2 linked regions of the Oryzias latipes genome follow. The main gene of each other region encodes a partner of the protein of the gene in region 2 in a complex. Links are inferred from orthologs where the notes say so. Each region holds a gene or a part of one and is shown on either strand. Other genes may lie near its edges.

Region 1 (3,569 bases), on a different chromosome or scaffold from region 2:
GGGCAGGCTGTGGGCGACAGAACCCAAACTGCATCCACTGCTACTGAAACTGGTAATAGGCAGGAAGTGCTGCTCTTCACAGCTGAGAACACTCTTCTGATGCAAGGCAGCAATTCCAAGATGTTGCAATATTTTTTTCAAGCAGCACAGCAGAGACTCTTATGAATTTCACCTTTTTTTAACCGAATCATTGGCAACACTGACTGCCTCCTTCTCCTGCTGTTCATCCAATCACAGAGTCATCCATCGGAGGTTCTGAACGTCTGCCTGAAACACGTAAAATCTAGACAAAGTAAAATTGTAATTCAGAAACCGTATTTTAAACCCATGTAAGACATTCATCTCAAAACCCACAGCTTTTTTTTTTTTTGCAAAAACACAGCACAGAATAATGACAGGAAGCGCCAAAAAACGCAGCATCAAATGTTTGTTAGTGTTTGTGCAGAAGCTGTTTTAACTCCAAATGGCTCCAAAAGCAAAGAGTTCTCTGCTTTAATCTGAAATAAAAACAGCAAATGAAAGTTTCACATCAGCACAGCGGGGCAAGCTGTAACAGAGCGGGAATACCTGGAGGCGTGCATTCCTGCCTTCCTTCAGCCGGGGCGGGACTGTTCTGCAGGATTGTGTCACCTCAGGGAAACGTTTCTGCAGCGCAAAAAGGGGCGACGTTGCGTCTCACCACACAAAACATGCGAGTATTGTTTTATCATTCTTTTAACAGATATTTCCCGATCAATGATCAAAACTACAAGAATTTCTGCAGCAGCCACTGGAAATCATCTTCCTTCACTGCAGCGGGGTTTCCACTTAATCTTGAACCTGGCCTGTGAACCCTGTGACCCTTTGAATAGAAGTTTTCTCTTTATTTGAAGGATATTTCAGTGACCCACCCCCCCCCCCAAAAAAAAACACATTGTGATTGATCAGAAAGAAAAGGATGGAGGAAACAACAGAGATGTTTCTGCAACATTTGGAAACACACTTTTGTTCGTTCTGGTGTTTTGTTGTTGTAAATCGCTATAAAATGTCTTCAGTGGTCCTTCACGTTTTAAATTTCACAAGATCACGTTTACCTGCAGCAATTGAGGCCGACCTCTATGTGACTTTTGGGTCTATTCTGATGCTTAAATGAGCTTAAACCTCCTTCGTGCATTTCTATTGTTTTTGTGTGTTTTGAAATGAAGATTGCATGGAAGACAGTCTCAGTCTTTGTTGGTTCTTTCTCCAGATGGAGGACATTGACGCCATGTTCAGTGACCTCCTGGGAGAGATGGACCTCCTCACTCAGGTGAGTCTGCACATTATTCCAGGGGTTTCTTTAAAAAAACAAACATTTTTTACATTTTCTATCATGATTCCACCGTTTTGGAGCTGGTTTATGCTGCTTAGAAAGTTTGGTTTCTTTTGTTTTTGTGGAACTGATGAGAAAAGTTACCCCAATTATTAATTTAACTCTGAGCACATTTAGCCTTGTTCATAAAAAGTAGATGAAAAAAAAGCAAACATTGAACAAAAGCGGATGTTTGCTCTGATAAAGTTCCAAACTCTCACTTCACGTTTTGGGTTAGAGTTTCAGGCTGTCAGAGTATTTTATTGATCGCTCTCCCCTGAGGGTCGCCTGGAATCAAACCGAAACTCACACTTCTTTCTAACAAAGCCCCCTTTGCTCTGCAGAGCCTGGGTCAGGAAACGGGACCTGCGGCAGATCTCCCCAGCTCCACCAAGGAGGTCAACTTCTCCACCGACTATGCGGACTGGAATGGTGAGAGACGAGTGCTTTTGTTGAGCTTTTGCACAATCATTGGACTGTGCAATATCCTCAGTTTTGCAAGAGCAAAAAGCAGGAAACACATGTTTTCAAAAACCTTTCACGACATAGGAACAAGACAACAAACGGCTAAAAATACCTCGTGTTTACTCTGATTTGAGCAGTGTTCAGGCTCAAACAGCCTCAAATTGCTGCATGTGCACTTTATTTTTTTAACCAGGATACTTTACTTCCTGTTTATGTTGTATCTCACTAGGAAGCAAAAGTTGGAGACTAAGAATTAATTTGGAGGCGCACAAACGGTCCATTTCTGAATCAAACTTAAAAAGAACTTAATCTTATAAACAAAGTTGTTGTCCATTTAGGTCACCAGTTAGAAACCAGAGACTGTTTGTTTATTAAGTTGTTTTAAATGTTCAAAATTAAGGAAAAACAAAAGTGCGACTCAAACACTGACTTGAACAGCGTCTTGTTTATGGCCGTTTGGTTAAAACGTTTTCTTTGTGCAGAATTTACAAACTAAAAAAGTCAAATTACTTTATGATGAAAAACATGATCACACTAAAAAAAGTTTTCCCAGATTCAGTGAACGTAACTTCACTGACTATTTGTTTATGGATCCGGAAAATATGTATTGATTTTCATTGGAACAGACATAAATAATACAAAAAAAAAAAAAAAACAGATCATCAGTGCAAGAAAGCGTTAACAGGGCGACAGTGGCTCAGGTGGTTGAGCGGGTCGTCCAATGATCGAAGGGTTGGCGGTTCGATCCCCGCTCCCACCAGCCAAAATGTCGTTGTGTCCTTGGGCAAGACACTTCACCCTCCTTGCCTCCAGTGTGGCTCCACTGGTGTGTGGATGTGTATGAATGATCCCGGTGATGGTCAGAGGGGCCGTAGGCGCGAAATGGCAGCCACGCCTCTGTCAGTCTGCCCCAGGGCAGCTGTGGCTACAACCATAGCTACCATCACCAAGTATGAATGAGGAGTGAATGAATAATGGACACAATGTAAGCGCTTTGGGTGTCTTGAAAAGCGCAGATAAATCCAATCCATTATTATTATTATTATTATGTACAATAATACTGCACAAATTATTGCCCCGAATTATAAAATGAATTATTTAAATGACAAAATAGGTCACGATGATTGAATAATAATGTAAAAATATTGTTTTGAGTTACAGAAAATCCACAAACTCTAAACTGAAGGTAAAAACAGATCATTTTTCCTCATCAGCGTCCCTCAATGAGCTGGAGGACAAGGATCTGGACGACCTCATGTCTGACTTGATGGCCGACCTGAACGCCACCGAGGAGAAGCTGGCGGCGGAGATTCGGGGCCTGGAGGCGCCAACGCCGCCCCCGCCCGACCTGCCCCCTCCGCCCAATGGCCAGAGCGTTCAGGCTGCCGCCGCCTCTCCCTCGCCTGCATCGTTGGCGAGCGCCTTCCCGCCCCCCTCCTCCACCACCTCCCCCCCGCCGGCTCCCCCGTCTCATTCGGCAAAGCCGTCAAAGGTGAGTCAGTGGATGACCTTTTCACCTCCTCACGCCAGGAGTTCCAGTGAGGACTGACTGAAAGCCAGTGAGATCATCACAGGTCTGTCTGGACCGGTTCAGACAGTCATTAGGGGAGGGGGGAGCAGGACCAATAGACCTGCCAGGGGTTTGATGTGAAAGTGTTGGAGGGGGGGGGAATATTGCTTTAACAGAGTTCCTGACTTCATCCCTGTGAGGTGAGAACAGCAGCTGTGGGAAGACGTCATCGTTGGCTCCTGAGATGCCTGAAGGCAGCATTTC
Region 2 (4,314 bases):
CTCGCCCAAAAATATTAGTCAAAGCGGCTCAAAACAGACCAATGGTTAAAAGTTCTGCTAAAGTCTCATTAGCTCCACACATATTTGGTTTTCCACATTAAACCCCTCTTCTGGGGAGGAGGGAACCATACAAGACTTGTCTGCGGACATCAACAGCCAGAACTGGAAGTCCTCAACCAAAACCAGAAGTCCCCCCATATTGTTCAGGGGGGGAAAAAATCCCCATTTTAAACTTGAAGCTTGACAGGTTTTTTTTTTAATCTGAACTCTTTTTGGGGGTGGGATTTCGGTTCCAGCCAATGCTGTTAGGCGCCATAAGCAGCCAGGTCCCTATCGAACCATTTGGTGGTTTAACCCCTCAATCCAACCCCTTAATGCTGAGTGTCGGGCAGGGATGCACTGGGTCCCATTTTTAGTCTTCGGAATGACGCCACCACAGATTTGAACTTATGACCTCCCAGTCTTAGGATGAACGTTGCACCACTAGAATCACATAAGGCCCTTTTAACACGCCGTTTCCTTTCTGCCTGTAAGGCGTCTTTTTTTCGCCTTGGTCTGAACTGACCCACTCGGCCTCTGCTCCACTCCAGAGGTGCAACTTGTCTAAGCTGCAAACAGACAATGACCTGTTATAGAAAGTTTTTTTTTTTTATACCAGCAGGTATTGCCCCAATATTTTCTGACTGACTACTTTTCATGGGAAATGTGTTTAATTGCAGGAGAGAATTGAACAGCAAACATCTTTTCACCAAAGTGAGACCAAGAGACCTTCCACACTGCTGGGCCACCTTTCCACAAACAACATCAGATAAAGACAAAAGGTCATGTTTCTCTGGTTAGTGGTCAGTCATTCTCCCCAGGAGGTTATAATTAATACGAGAGCATCTGGTCACACAACACCAGACACCCCTGAACTGTTTTTTAAGACAAAGTTCAATGATTAAGCATACATTTATACTTCCTCTTATCTTCTGAAGCGTTCTTTTTAAAATTATATTTAGATTTAAAGATCTTTGAGGAGGAGGAGTTAAAACCCTGAGAATGATCTTTTCCGGCTCACACCAAAAGGTTCCCAGAAATGATGCGTGCATAGAAAAAAAAGCCATTATAAACCATTGTTTGGTCCCATCATTGATTTATTCTATACGTTAAAGTCCCACTCGATCATCTTTTAATCTAGTGTAAAGTGTTCCCAGTGGTCTTTTAATTATGATTATGCCGTTTTTTAGCCACATTTTTAGGACATAGTTTCTGCAGAGCAGCAGACGTTCATCAGTACTTCCCCAGGTGGGACCCCTGGCACAGAGCAACCCCGATCCCCCTACCCGTCACCCACAACTGAGAGCTCTCTGCTTGCACACTCTCCCACCATTACATCCCCAACCCAACATTACCGGCGCAACAAAAATGACAAGCAAGGTTGTAGCTATGGATCCAGTCGTACAGTTTTAGAACCAGATTACAGAGGAGGAAAACCAAGACGTACATGCATCCATGGATGCATTAGAATGAAGAGCAGGGAGTTCATGCCGATTTCTCGAACAGTAGCCCCCAAAAACATTGACTAAAACAAAGTGATTCTGTGAAAAAATTGATATCCTTGTGAAAATATAATATATAATATTTCTCTCATGTTCTTGTTCATGTCCAGGAATATTTTAGAACATTTTTATATGTGAATCTACATCAGATTTGACTAAATTACTAACTGAAGTGCATACATTCATTTGTTTTGATATACTTCAGGTGCAAACCTGAAGAATTCTTTTTTTCCTATGAACTTTTAAAAACCCTCCAAAAGTTGTTTTTCCTCAAAATGTAAATCACCTGAGGAAATACTGAACGTTTTATTTCAGTCCATCAATGAAGAAAAGATGAGAGTCGAAATCTAAAGTGAAACAAAAGAATGTAATTATTCGTGTTTGTCGCATGTTTTCAATGGTGGTTATTTTGATCTACATCCCCATCTCTCTTTTGTGTTCGCAAGAATTCCTCTTCAGCTCCGTCAAACTGAAATAGACAGTAGTCGCGTCACACTCAGATCTCTCAGCGGTGTTAGTAGTGGGATTCCAGCCGCATCCAAACGGGAATGTCAACGAACGACTACAAAGCAAAGCCGCGCGGCGGCTCGTCCGCGTGCAGGAAGAATGTGCAGCCGGAGGCTACAGGTTGAGAGCGCGGAGGAACACGCCCAGGAGCGGCGCGGTGCGGCCCGCAGGGCCTCCTGATGGGAGCCTGTCCGAAACACGAGCCGCGCGACCCGACGGGCTTTCGTGTAACCTCCAGGGCGCAGCGGCGGACACACTCAGTGGGGCACACTGTGTGCCCCACTGACACGGCGGTTCAGCTGCGTGCGTGCGTGTTAGCGTGTGTGTGTGTGTCTGTGTTGTGAGGGGAGGGGGGGGCAATGTCTATGTGGCGCGTGTAACTTCAAACTCGTTTCCTCTTCGTGTAATCTTAACTGTGCCTCGCGCGCAGCCGTTAGCCGTAAACACGTCACTTCGCTCAGGTTCTTTTGATCGTTCTGGTGACGTCACAGACCCCTGGCCACAAACTCGAAACTTTCGAAGTTGGTAAAATAAAAACTCTGAAGGTCTGACCTGCGCGCGGGAATCCGATTCCGTCGACGGCGGCGCTTCCAGCAGTGGGACCCGCCTCGTCGAACTTTTCTCCACTTTTAATTCCAGAACAAAATCCGTTTTTTAATGACGGAAGAGGCCAAGCGCTGCTTTTCCTTCGCTCCCCTCCCTGTCTGCTAGGAGTTGTGGTGCTGCTCAAACTCCACCCTGACGAGGCGCGAGGGTGGAGTTTGCGCAGCACCCTCTGAGCCCAGCTGCAGCACAGCGATCCGGTCTGTGTGCGTGTAGACCGCGGCGGTACCCGCCCGCAGCTGGACAGCTTCAGGTCATGCCACCGCTGCTGCTTTGGACAGAGCGGGACCGCGCGCGCTCAAATACACGCGGCCTTTAAAACCCCCTCCAGCAGAAATAGGGTGCTTTAACGTGTTCTTGTAGCATTTTTTTCTTGATAGAAAACATATATTAAGAAAACTGACAGTTTTTTTTAATCAAATCATTATGGACAACCACAATGCAGTAGGACTTACAATGACAAGCCACTAGCTCCCTGCGCTGCTCCATTCTGATGCATCCACTGTAGTCAAATAGATCCATGTACAGTACAGACCAAAAGTTTGGACACACTTTCTCATTCAAAGAGTTTTCTTTATTTTCATGACTATGAAAATTGTAGATTCACACTGAAGGCATCAAAACTATGGAACTGGAATTATATACATTCCAAAAAAGTGTGAAACAACTAAAAATATGTCATATTCTAGGTTTTTCGTAGTAGCCACCTTTTGCTGGGATTTTTACTGCTTAGCACACTCTTGGCATTCTCTTGAGCTTCCAGAGGTAGTTAGTCACCTGAAATGTTTTTCACTTCACAGGTGTGCCCTGTCAGGTTTAATAAGTGGGATTTCTTGCCTTATTTATGGGGTTGAGACCATCAGTTGTGTTGTGCAGAAGTCATATAGATAAACACCTGATAGTCCTACTGAATAGACTGTTGTAATTTGTATTATGGCAAGAAAAAAGCAGCTAAGTACAGAAAAAACGAGTGGCCATTATTACTTTAAGAAATGAAGGTCAGTCAGTCTGAAAAATTGGGAAAATTTTGAAAGTCTCCCCAAGTGCATTCACAAAAACCATCAAGCGCTACAAAGAAACTGGCTCACATGCGGACCGCCCCAGGAAAGGCAGACCAAGAGTCACATCTGCTGCTGCGGATAAGTTCATCCGAGTCAGCAGTCTCAGAAATGGCAGGTTAACAGCAGCTCAGATTAGAGAGCAGCTCGATGGCACACAGAGTTCTAGCAGCAGACACATCTCTACAACTGTTACAAGGAGACTGTGTGGATCAGGCCTTCATGGTAGAATATCTGCTAGGAAATCACTGCTAAAGAAAGGCAACAAGCAGAAGAGACTTGTTTGGGCTAAAGAACACAAGGAAAGGACATTAGACCAGTGGAAATCCGTGCTTTGGTCTGATGAGTCCAAATGTGAGTTTTTTGGTTCCAACCACCGTGTCTTTGTGCGACGCAGAAAAGATGAACGGATGGACTCTACATGCCTGGTTCCCACCATGAAGCATGGAGGAAGAGGTGTGATGGTGTGGGGGTGCTTTGCTGGTGACTCTGTTGGGGATTTATTCCAAATTGAAGGCATACTGAACCAGCGTGGCTACCACAGCATGCTATTCCATCTGGTTTGCGTTTAGTTGGACCATTATTTATTTTTCAACAGGAAAATG

The links. Proteins that work in one complex are often made in the same cells at the same time.
Region 1: the proteins of tln1 (region 2) and apbb1ip are in contact, whole or in part, in a crystal structure (PDB 4W8P), measured with the Mus musculus proteins. The link is inferred for Oryzias latipes from reciprocal best matches to the Homo sapiens genes TLN1 and APBB1IP. Residues at the interface, in NP_035732.2 of Mus musculus: Leu1492, Ala1495, Thr1496, Val1498, Ala1499, Thr1502, Ser1503, Cys1506, Asn1507, Arg1510, Val1526, Ala1529, Lys1530, Ala1533, Asn1534, Thr1536, Ala1537, Val1540, Ile1543, Lys1544, Asp1547; in NP_062329.2 of Mus musculus: Asn5, Ile8, Asp9, Met11, Phe12, Thr14, Leu15, Glu18, Met19, Leu21, Leu22, Ser25.

Annotation. Positions count from the first base shown.
Region 1 is NC_019878.2:23,076,756-23,080,324, reverse strand, and holds part of apbb1ip (amyloid beta A4 precursor protein-binding family B member 1-interacting protein), read left to right. Parts: intron 1-1,228; coding exon 1,229-1,288; intron 1,289-1,674; coding exon 1,675-1,762; intron 1,763-3,009; coding exon 3,010-3,287; intron 3,288-3,569. UniProt on the Homo sapiens protein: Appears to function in the signal transduction from Ras activation to actin cytoskeletal remodeling. Suppresses insulin-induced promoter activities through AP1 and SRE. Mediates Rap1-induced adhesion.
Region 2 is NC_019870.2:24,789,627-24,793,940, reverse strand, and holds the start of tln1 (talin-1), read right to left. Parts: upstream 2,809-4,314; 5' UTR 2,601-2,808; intron 1-2,600. UniProt on the Homo sapiens protein: High molecular weight cytoskeletal protein concentrated at regions of cell-matrix and cell-cell contacts. Involved in connections of major cytoskeletal structures to the plasma membrane.